3 linked regions of the Macaca mulatta genome follow. Each later gene encodes a partner of the first gene's protein in a complex. Links are inferred from orthologs where the notes say so. Each region holds a gene or a part of one and is shown in the gene's direction. Other genes may lie near its edges.

Region 1 (3,649 bases):
GGTGGATCTCTCTGTCAGTTAAACAGACCAAAACTGCCACATCCACCTACAAGGGTGCCGTGGTAGGACGGGCGGCAAGGGAACAGAGAAGAGCAGGCTCTTGTAGTCTTTCTTTAAAGTCTGGTTGCCTTTAATAGGGTTAAGCTCCCCAAGGGTCTTGTGATTATTGTTTATATATGATGTTGCCATCATAACTGGATAACTTCTAGGCATTTTACAGTATAATGTAATAAAAATGGACTTTCATAAAAGTAAATTCAATATAACACATTTTCTGTAAGACAGTTTGAGATGAGAGAATTATTTGACTTCCGTCTACTCTTCCCAGGAAGGGAATTTTAAGATGAGCCATTCTCTCAGTAATGCCGGGCCACTGCTCTCTGGATATACCGCGATACAAGCTGAATAGAGATTTGTAGGACGTTTGCAAAAAATTAAAATCTGAACACCAGCTGAACTTGCTGGTGCTGTCGTGAAGCTTTTGATTTGGGATTTAATTTTATATTTGTATGCTAGTGCAGCTTTACTAATACATGAACTATTGGCGATACAGAAATTCCCAGGGGGCTGAGTTCCGGCGTACCTAAATCACTCTGCCTGCCAGTGGGCTAGAGTAGGGTTTCTCAGCACTGACACTATTGATTGACATTTGGAGCTGGGCATGTCTTTGTTTTGGGGGCCGGTACTGTGCATTGTATGATATTCAGCAGCCTCCGTGGCCTCTACCCAGTAGATGCCAGCAGCATATCAGTTGTGACACCCAAAAATATCTCCAGGTATTGCCAAAAGCCCCTGTGGGTAAGTATACCCAGGTTGAGAACCACTAGTCTAAATCATTTCACTTTCTCACCCAAAGGTTTTAAGTACATTGAGGAATATTTTCTGCCAAAAAGAAGGTAGCTTTGAAAAGAGGACTTTAACTGTAAAGTTATCTTTACAATAAGAAATTTAGCCAACATATTAAGACACTGAAAGCAGGCTTTGCGTCTGGCCTCTTAAAGGTTGAGTGATGCAGATTATTGGATGTGGACAATGATTGCGTGTGGCTTAACTGGGTTTTTTGTTTTCCTTCATTTTTGTAGCTCACACATATGGGTGTAAATCCGCTAGAAGCTGAAGAACTTATCCGTGATGAAGATAGTCCTGATTTTGAATTCATCGTCTATGACTCCTGGAAAATATCAGGCAAAACAGCAGAAAACACCTTTAATAAAACCCATACATTCCACTTTCTGTAAGATTATTTTAAAAATCCAACAGACCAGCTATTTGTGAACCTTAAATTGTTTTTTGTTGTAGGGATAAAGATTATTTGGTATTGTAGAGGTGACAGTCATGATGCCGTTGTTTGGAGACTTGAAACTTTGATATAAAAGTTCATAAACACTACTCCGGGCGTGGTGGCTCACGCCTTTAATCCCAGCACTTTGGGAGGTGAATACAGGTAGATCATCTGAGCTCAGGAATTCAAGATCAGCCTGGGCAACATGGCGAGAACCCATCTCTACCAAAAATACAAAAAATTAGCCCGCTGTGGTGGCCCATGCCTGTGGTCCTGGCTATTTGGGAGGCCGAGGTGGGAGGATCTCTTGAGCCTGGGAGGCAGAGATTGCAGTGAGCTGAGATGGTGCCACTGCACTCTGGCCTGGGTGACAGAGTGAGACCCTATCTCAAAAAAAAGAAAAGTCCATAAACTCTAGATGTGGGTGGAACCTTAAAGGATCTCTCATTCTGCTTTAGCAGAAAAGGCCAGAACCTCTTTACCAGTGCTCTCTCCTGGCTCCTTTGCTTCTAGCTCATGAGGCTCTGGGTTTATCATCTTTAAAATCCTTACCATATAGGAGGATGATACCTCCTACTGAGGGTATCTTAGGGTCTCCTAATGTCTAAAATGACATTTATTATAATACCCTGTTGGATGACCACTGACTTGTATTTGAAGATTACTTGTCACTGCCACATAAACTGCCCCGTTCATTTTTTAGATGGAACTCTGATTTTAAAAAAAGATTTCTTCATATTCGAATGAAGTTGGCTTCTGTCTTAACTTCCTGGCATGGTCCTATGGAGAAACTAAGAACAGCTCTTACTGGCTCTTCTCTAGAGGACCTTCAAGTATATTGGTTTTGTTGCCCAGTAGATACTTTCTCTAGGGGTAGCCATCTGAGTTGTTCAGTCCTCCTTTAAGTGGTATAGCTCCTGGGCATTTGTCTTTTCTAATTTGTCTTTTTAAAAACCTTTGAGATTGGTAATGGCTCGGGTAGAAGGCCTTGGAGATGCTAATGTAGTAGTGTGGTGTGGGATCTGGCATCTATTTTTAGTAAGACTTCAGGTAACTCAGGTGCCCAGAGCCATTTGTGTATGTTCTATTTAATAGGATACCGACGAAACTTCTTTATCTTACGATAAAGTCTAAATCTTTGTTTTTTGCTATCGTACTAAACTCATATATCCGAGGTTATAAAGATAAAGCCTTAAACTTTATCTCATCATCCAGCCCAATTTCCAGCCACAATGAAGTACTTAAAACTGTGTCTTTGTACTTGCTGTTCTCTTGGCCTCCAATTCCTTTTCATCTTTCCCATTCGGTAAAGTTTGTTTATCCAGCAGGGCCCCATCTTGGAAGCCTCCAGCAACTTCTCCAGACAGAGGTGTTAGCAGTGTAGGATCAGATTTCCCAACCACGCCACTCCCATGTCTGGGTAGATATCTCTGCCCAGGTGTTCTCACAGCACTTGAGCAGTACTCTCTAAGCACCCAGGATCTACCATGTTACTTTTTTTAAATTTGATTAATTTATTTTTTGATACTGCTCCTTGTGGAGCAGGAGTGTGCCCAGAGTAACCCACCATGTGATGCTGAAATGGATCTGTGTGTATAACGTAGCTGTCCATCTACATCGTATACTTCCGTCTCCTCAAGTGTAGGGACCACATGAGCCTTATTCTTGGGGCTTTGATCTCTACATGATGCAGACTTACATCTATTACTGCAGCCCAAGTCTGCATGAGGGCAGAATCCAGAAGGAAAAGGAGTCCCATGGCTGTGACTTGCCCTGTTACTCTAAGACAGATGTGTTCGTAGTCCTGGGCTGGGAGCCTCTGCCTTGGCCTCCCCAGATCAAAGGCTTCTGACCCCACTGGAGCTTCCCCACATGCCTACTCATCCTTCCCCTGCTCTTTTAGAAGTTGGCTTTGCAAAACAGATAATAGGTTGGGTGGTGGGAAGAGGTCACAGGCACATTCACTGGCCTGCTGTACAGGGCAGTATGAAGGTGTCTGAGGAGGTATCAGTGGTTGAGTAAAGCTCCTAGGAGTTACTTTAGAAATACAAAGAAGGCAGAAAGGCTGTCACAAACCTTACTAAGAGTCTTAGTCTGATGTCAGCTTGTATATCACTAATGTCTGGTCTGAATTTGACTATATCATGCAAACTGCTTTTAGTAAAATTAGTTTGTTTAACAAACAACAGGCAAAAAAATACATGAAAGCATATTTTTCATCAGGTTGGGTTCCATATACGGAGAGTGCCCTGTGCCAAAGCCACGAGTCGACCGTCCAAGAAAAGTTCCTATGATACAAGAGGAGAGGGCAATGCCTGCCCAGGTTTGTTTTAAAATGTTGCTTTTTAAAAAACACCTAAAAGTTAA
Region 2 (4,412 bases), on another chromosome or scaffold:
TCAAGTTGCAGCTAAGAGGTATGTGGATGGCTTTACAAAGTGTTAAGACTCAGTTAAGTCTTAAAAAACCACTTTAGAATTAGGTCCAATTAAACTCTGTAGAAGAAGCTATGGTAAATTATCCTTTCAGAGGTTCTCTTCGTGCTAGGGATTAAGAAAACTTGAAGATCAGCTCTCTCAATACAGGCTGTATTACTATCGGCATGAAATCCAGAGATCCCACTATATTCTCTTATTTTCTTTTACAAGCGCCAGTAACTTCATTTTTAAGAATTTGGCGTGGAACTGTGATTTTCAGTTTGGGAAGTAATCCTAATCAAAAGACATGCTGTCAAGAATGAGGCATGGCATCATTATACCAATTACCCAGAGTGCAGAATAATATTTCTTAAGGAAATCGAATTGTCGTGGACAAACACTGTTTACCCCCTTCAGAGGACAAAAGAAGGTAGGTCTATATTTAGCCTTTCGCAAAACCTCAGTTCCATAAAGGAAGCACTGATCTCCACAAATCCATTATCACAAACAAAATATAATGGTTGTCGGTCAGAATAAATGCAAGCTGCATATGTTTTCCAGAAAAGTTCTGACATGAGGCTGAACCTGAAATCCTGGGAAAGGCAGGTGAAGGACAATTAGAGAAGGTGTCCCTTGTTGTGCACAAAGACAGGAAAACTTCTCCCTCACTACCCTTCACCTATGTTTGAGGGAGCTCCATGCGCTTGCAATCAGGAGACCCAGTTCTACGACTCTGTGACTTTTTTTCTTTTTCCTGTCCGATCATAGAGGAATCAGGGCCTTGGGAACATTTCCCCCCCACGCAAAATGCAAAGGATTTTGGCATTAGCACAGGTGAAGGCATTAAGACGCAGCGAGCAGCAATGACTTGCCCAAACTCACAGCCCATGGCATAACTAGAATGCAAATCCAGGTCCGTCAGGCTGTAAAAGTCCTCACTACTAGCCTTTCAGTTTTCTCAAAAGCAAAGAGAGAAATAACGACGACATCCACACAGCAGTGTTCCCGGAAACTTGGAAGGATGAGATTCGGACCAAGCAGCCAGCTGAACGGTGCTTCCTAAAGCGAGGAAGGAGTGTGCAAAATGTTTTCCCCCTAAGCGGAGACGAAGAGCTGGACTGCAGCCCCCGCCCCAGAAAGCCCCTAAGCCCTCCATCCCGAGTCCCCCGTCCAGGCTGCACGCGACGCTGGAGACCTCCCCAGGGCCAGCGCGGCCCAGCGGGGAGGTGAAGGGGGCCATGCAAAAATGGGGTGCGCTCATCCCATCCCCACTCACCTGTCAGCCGGGCCGCGCCAGCGGCGCACGCGCAGGGCAGGAGGTTGCGCGCGGAGTCGGCACCCAGGTTCCACCCCTCCCTCACGGCGGCGGTCCTCTTCTATCCCCAGTCCCGGACCTGGAACGGGTCAGAGCCCGGCTTCCGCCCCTGACTTCCAGGACGGTCACATGACCGAAGCGGCGGTGAGCAGGGAGGGGCATCATGTGACCACTCGCCGGCGACGGATGATGACGCAAGAGCCCCCGCTCACTTTTCAGCTACAGGCGAAGGGGGCTGAGGAAAGGAGGTGGGTACAAGTAGGGGAAGTTGGGGTGCCACCAGACGGAGACAACTCGGACAACCAGGTAGGGAAGAAGCGGGGGACGGCAATGGGGAAGGTGGCGGGAATTGTCGCCTCCCTCAGGGACACTCCACGGGGACCCCGAGCCGGGAATTCGTCGACCTGGATTATGGTTGTGGCCCTTTTCACGCCACAGTAGTGAGTCTGGGACAGTTTACCCTCCTGTCCGAGGCGCCATCTCTCCATCCGTTAGCCACAAGTGTGTAAGGGCAAGATCACGAATTTTTGATCCAAATAGATGTGGTTTGAACTGACTTTAAAAGTAAGGCCACGGGAAGGTCGTTTGAATAAACTCTCTGGACCTCAGTTTCCTCTTCACTTATGTAGATTGCAGTGAGAATTAGCGATAAGGAGAATGAAGTGCCAGGACACCAGTTTATGGCATTCTGTAGGTGACCGAGAAATGATGATGTCTGTTGTTATTTTTGTAACTCGCCAAATCTTTATTGGTCCCCTATTTTGTGTGAAGAACTGCTTTATATGCAATAGAATATGTCAGGGTTCTAGTTTAAGGAGCTTTCAGTGTAAAGAAGCTGCAGACATGTGAGCAAATAGTTGTGATGAGTTTCATAATGGGAGTGTGTTGTGTACATGTGCATGTGATAGGAATAATGGTAGCATGAGGGAGGGAACAAGCAATTGTATGAGAAGGATTCAGAGAGAAGGGTATATCCTTGCATGCTGAAAAAGGAGAGGCAGCTCTGGCTGACTTGTACAAGGTTCCCGTGGATTTAAAGGAAGTCAGCATATTGTCTATAAATAACATGCAGAGAAAAAACTCAGGAAATGCACAACTTGTTCTAAACTTTCTTGGAGATCATAGGTATTGGGAAGAAAAGATCAGTGTTATTACATGGGAAGGGATCCAAGAGAGATTGATTTAAATCAGTTATTCTCAACTGATGCGCTATTGACATTTTAGGCCAGATAATTTTTTCCTGTGGGGTGGGGGTGAGGGCTGTCCTGTGTATTGTAGGACGTTTGAGAGTATCCCTGGCCTCTGCCCACTAGATGCCAACCATAATGTCTACAGATATTGCTACATGTCCCTTGGGAGAGGGGTAAAATCTTTCTTGGTTGAGAACCACTTAAACCAAGCCATGAGAGATGGTGTCTTAGTCAGTGTGGGCTTCTATAACAAAATGCCATAAACTAGGTAGTTTACGAACAACGGAAATTTATTTCTCACAGTTCTGGAGGCTGGAAAGTCCAAGGTCAGGGTGCCAGCAGATTTAGTGTCTGGCAAGGGCCTGTTTCCTGGTTCATAGGTGGCTTTTTGCTGTGTCCTCACACGGTGGAATGGCAAAGCAGCTCTCTGGAGCATCTTCTAAAAGGGCACTAATTTTATTCATGAAAGTGGGCCTAATCGCCTCCCAAAAGGCCCTACCTCCTCATACCATCACCTTAGGAGTTAGGATTTCAACATATAAATTTTGGGTGACACAAACATTCAGACTTTAGCATATGGGTAAGATGTGGGCAGATAGAAAACTGAAGAAAGAGCCTGGTGCGGTGGCTCACACCTGTAATCCCAGCACTTTGGGAGGCCAAGGAGGGCGGATCACTTGAGGTGGGGTGTTTTGAGACTAACCTGGTCAACATAGCGAAACCCTGTCTCTACTAAAAATACAATAAATAAATAAATAAATAAATAAATAAAATAACCAGTGTGTTCTGGCGCACACCTGTAATCCCGGCTACTCAGGAGGCTGAGGCAGGAGAATCCCTTGAACCCAGGAAGCAGAGGTTGAGGTGAGCCGAGATCATGCCACTGCACTCCAGCTTGGACGACAGAGCGAAACTCTGTCTCAAAAAATAAATAAATAAAAAGAAAGAAAACTGAAGAGATGGTTTTCTCACGGTGGGAGCAGGATGAACAAAGTCCTTTCTTCCTTTTTGGAGACAGCGTCTCACTCTTATTGCCCAGGCTAGAGTGCAGTAGCATGATCATAGCTTACTGCAGCCTTGGACTCCTGGACCCAAGGGGTCCTCCCACCTCAGCCTCCCAAGGGGCTAGGACAATAAGTGCAAGCCACCATGTCTGTGTTGTTTGTTTTTTTTTTTTTGAGATGGGGTCTCGCTGTGTTGCCCAGGCTAGTCTTGAGCTCCTGGCCTCAAGCAGTCTTCCTGCCTTGCCCTTTCAAAGTGCTGGGATTATAGGCATGAGCCACCGCGCCCAGCCTGGACAAAGTCTGGAGGTGAGTTCAAGAATATTGAGTATGAAGGGGAGAAGGAAACACGAGAGCTGTGCATCTGACCGAAGCAGTTTATTCATTTATTGATAGTTTCAGAGCACTTGCTGTTTATGAAGCACTGCGAACATCTTGCAAGATAGTCACTAACAAAGTAGAGTTACTGCCAAAGGCTATAATTATATCAAAGAGGGTGCTGTTAGAGTCAGAGAAAGGAGTTGTCTTTGACTTGTACTTAGCTGTATTTATTGGGAGGAATTGAGAAAAGTATATCTATTCCATCTTTCTGCACCATCCATTGTCTTTGCTTTTCAATTCAGTCTGTCTTAATCTTTTCCCTACTCCAGAATTACAGAAAAGCATGGTCATGTTTTCCTTGGTCCTCTGCAAGAGTGAAGTTTCACTCAAGTAATGTGAGTTTTGCATTCAACCAAGTAGTGACAACTACTGTTTGGTATATACTTTCCATTTATACTGGATTGCATTAATCTTCATAGATATTGTGTCTTTGTTCAAGCTACCATAACAAAATACCATAGACTGGGTGGCTTAAACAACAGAAATTCTGGAGGCCAGAAGTTCAAG
Region 3 (3,624 bases), on another chromosome or scaffold:
TATTTGTTTTTCGTAGTAGGCCTTTGTCATTAAGCTTGATGCCTGAGGATATAGTTGTATCTTGTGTGGAACAGTAAGTTATTACTCACTGCGTATCAGATTTTAGCATACTTGCATTAGTTCATGGAATATGATTTTACATTTACTATAGCAGTTCCAGTGCCATTATCAGATTGCATTTTCCTACTGAATTACAAACAAATGTGTTATGCTACTAACATTTAACAAAATTTTAATAAGGTTGTGTTTGATGCTATTATTCAGATAATGTGTTCTAAATTGCTTTCCTTTGAATATATTTGCATTAAAGAGGAACTCGATTTGGTTCTTTGAAGAGTTTATCCACTTTCTGGGTAGCTTTAAAAAGACACAGGGAAATTCAGTTTCTTCTTTGCAAGTCAATAAATAGAGAAGAAACAAATTTGCTAAGATCTATAGAAGTAATGGCAGCAGATTGCTGATGGTTTGAGTTAATGAAATGACTCATTTTGGCTACTTGAGTTGCACAATTAAAATATACATAGACTGCACACATCATAGATGAGGGATAAATACCCTTGTGTTCTCTTTTCTTTCTCAAAGCTAATATATTATGAATTAAGAAATTTAAGAGATCCACATTATTGCAATTCTTGATCAGTGATGCCCAAAATTAAGTGGTAATCTCTTGAGAGTGCACGTTTGCAGCATTCCTCTTACGCATTTCTGCTAAAATTGTGGCTGTGAGCCGAAGACAGTTGTTTTCCAAAGGATAAACTCATTTGACCAAGCTAAAACATTTACTTAATATTGACAAGTTTTGTGGGGTTTTCTCATAGTTGTCTAGCTAAAGGAGTTTAATGCAGAGAATACACATACGGAAATAGTGAAACCGAAGTCCTGCTTGCGCGGAAAGCCTGCAGCAGACTTTTGTTTTTAACAAACTCCACGGGGCATTAGAGAAAGTAACTGGGGGCAGTGGGTTGGAGGGTATAAAATTGAGCGGAGGGACGAAAACTAAGAGCCCTCTGGGTTTTTTATATCCTTCTACATGTTGTGTAGAAATAAATGCTTTTACTTCCACGGTCGTACCTTCCTCTTCACCTTTTTTTTTTCTTTCTCACACATTCATCCTGTGAGATCTTTTCATTTACAAATGCTCCCGATTTAGAATTAGAAACTCATAATACCGTCTGTAAAACTTGCCTGAGCCTGTCTGGTCCTGAATTTAGCGACACACTTGTTTAGGAGTTTCGGTTCTCGTTCTCTGCTTGCATGGTTTAGTAAGAACAACACTTCGATATACTGAAATTCACCGACCAGACCTGCAGGGCTGCACAGAAATATCTGATGCTTTTGGTACCCCCAGCCCCGCAGCCGCGCAGGCGCACCGCCCAGCCGCCGTGACGCAAGGCGCAGGCTTCATGACGCGGCACGCAGTCTCAGCCGACACTGCGCGCCCCTTCTGGGGCCCCGCCCAGGCAGCGGCCTTAGCGGGTCGCCGACCCACGATCCCAGCCGCGGCTGCTTGCTTGCCGGAGTGTGCACCGGTACGCGTCGCCGGTGACATGTTGCAAAAACCGAGGAACCGGGGTCGCTCTGGCGGCCAGGCCGAGAGGGACAGCGACTGGAGCCGTGGCGGAAACTCCGGGGCCTCGCGGGCGGGCGAACACGCCCGGGCCCGCAGAGACGGCTTCGCAGAGGAGGCCCCGAGCACTTCCCGGGGGCCGGGCGGCTCGCAGGGGTCGCAGGGCGCCCGCCGGTCCCAGGCCTCCCCCGCCGTGGGCCCCAGGACCCAGAAGCAGCAGGAGCTGAAAGTGTCCGAGCTGGTGCAGTTCTTACTGATTAAGGACCAGAAGAAGATTCCGATCAAGCGGGCCGACATACTGAAGCACGTCATCGGGGACTACAAGGACATCTTCCCCGACCTCCTCAAACGGGCCGCCGAGCGCCTCCAGTACGTCTTCGGTTATAAGCTGGTGGAACTTGAACCCAAGAGCAACACTTATATCCTCATCAACACCCTGGAGCCGGTGGAGGAGGATGCCGAGGTGAGGGGTGACCAAGGCACGCCCACTACGGGCCTCCTGATGATCGTCCTGGGGCTCATCTTTATGAAGGGCAACACCGTCAAGGAGACTGAAGTCTGGGACTTTCTGCGGCGCTTAGGGGTCTACCCCACCAAGAAGCATTTCATTTTCGGAGATCCAAAGAAACTCATTACCGAGGACTTTGTGCGACAACGTTACCTGGAATACCGGCGGATACCCCACACCGACCCCGTGGACTACGAGTTCCAGTGGGGCCCGCGAACCAACCTGGAAACCAGCAAGATGAAAGTTCTTAAGTTTGTGGCCAAAGTCCATAATCAAGACCCCAAGGACTGGCCAGCGCAGTACTGTGAGGCGTTGGCAGATGAGGAGAACAGGGCCAGACCTCAGCCCAGTGGCTCAGCCCCATCCTCTTGAAATCTGAGGTGGATTCAGAGGGACCCCCGGGACAAGGGTCTGAGACCCAAAGGCACAGTGCAGAGGAGCGGGGGAAGGGAGAACGAACCCAGGAAGCGTATTTCTGTAGCGTTTCAATGTGTGTAGCTTTAGGATGTGTTTGCAAAGTTTTGTTCTTTTAATGTTGTGTTATTTGGTTCCAGATTTTCATCTATAAACAAAAGAGCATTTGTTTTGCTTTGATTTTACTTTTTTTGGTATAAAAAATTTTCCTAGCTTAGTAAAACGAATTGGAAAACTTGACTATGATCTGAAACAGATATGCCAGAAGGAACACATAAGTAAGTTGCTTTGGTGCCAAGAAAATAAAAAAGTAGCTATTATCGGGTCTCTTAAGCATCCCAGTTTGTAAGGAAAAATAAAAGTCTTTATAAAATTAAAAATAAAAACGTAATTGCCTATATCCTTATTACCTTAACCTATTTTATTTTTTCTATATTTCCTACATATGTAAGTATTATTCATGGTTCCAAGCAATGAACGTGGTGTATTTTCTCCAAATAGCAATTGTTTATATTCATAATTACTCAGCTGTGTTGCTAAACATGCAGTTCCACTTAGTTTTTTTTACATGCTACTCTAGTTATTACAATAAATACTGTATTTTTGAAGCACTGAAGCATTGTGTGTGTTTTAAATCGTGGGCCATGAGACAATTTCATGACGAAATCAGCGTCTTAAAGTTTTTGCAACATATTGAGGTCAATGTTGTTTTGTAGAAGTTGTTTTACTTTTGTGTGTGTGTGTACAGGATCATGAGGTAAAATATATTTCTACTGTGGATACCAAAAAGGCTTATAAAACAATAGCGTAACCATTAACCATGCCTGCTTGGGAATCAGACTGCCTGGGTTCAGATCCTGGCCCCACCGTCACTAGTATAGGAATTTACGTAGGTTCCTTAGTTTGTATGCAGATGTTTCTTGACCTGTAAAATGGGTTTAGTCCCTGATGTGGAGGAATTTGCTTGTTATTCTTTAATGTTTTTATTTTTTATTCTCGGTCTGGAGCTGCCACTTTTTAAATACAACTTTTCTTTATCTTGTTTTCCAAATGATTCCTAGGAGAGCAATTACTGGTTCAAAAGGTATATTCCACTAGTCTGACTCTATTGTATGGGGAAATAAGTATAAAGTGT

The links.
Region 2: NSMCE4A (region 1) and NSMCE2 share a complex: the UniProt entries of both Homo sapiens proteins name them as parts of the SMC5-SMC6 complex. The link is inferred for Macaca mulatta from reciprocal best matches to the Homo sapiens genes NSMCE4A and NSMCE2.
Region 3: NSMCE4A (region 1) and NSMCE3 share a complex: the UniProt entries of both Homo sapiens proteins name them as parts of the SMC5-SMC6 complex. The link is inferred for Macaca mulatta from reciprocal best matches to the Homo sapiens genes NSMCE4A and NSMCE3.

Annotation. Positions count from the first base shown.
Region 1 is NC_133414.1:134,048,828-134,052,476, reverse strand, and holds part of NSMCE4A (non-structural maintenance of chromosomes element 4 homolog A), read left to right. Parts: intron 1-1,082; coding exon 1,083-1,234; intron 1,235-3,505; coding exon 3,506-3,605; intron 3,606-3,649. UniProt on the Homo sapiens protein: Component of the SMC5-SMC6 complex, a complex involved in DNA double-strand breaks by homologous recombination. The complex may promote sister chromatid homologous recombination by recruiting the SMC1-SMC3 cohesin complex to double-strand breaks.
Region 2 is NC_133413.1:135,525,407-135,529,818, forward strand, and holds the start of NSMCE2 (E3 SUMO-protein ligase NSE2), read left to right. Parts: upstream 1-1,543; 5' UTR 1,544-1,581; exon of another isoform or gene 1,582-1,639; intron 1,640-4,412. UniProt on the Homo sapiens protein: E3 SUMO-protein ligase component of the SMC5-SMC6 complex, a complex involved in DNA double-strand break repair by homologous recombination. Is not be required for the stability of the complex.
Region 3 is NC_133412.1:9,161,146-9,164,769, forward strand, and holds NSMCE3 (non-structural maintenance of chromosomes element 3 homolog), read left to right. Parts: upstream 1-1,453; 5' UTR 1,454-1,547; coding exon 1,548-2,447; 3' UTR 2,448-3,055; downstream 3,056-3,624. UniProt on the Homo sapiens protein: Component of the SMC5-SMC6 complex, a complex involved in repair of DNA double-strand breaks by homologous recombination. The complex may promote sister chromatid homologous recombination by recruiting the SMC1-SMC3 cohesin complex to double-strand breaks.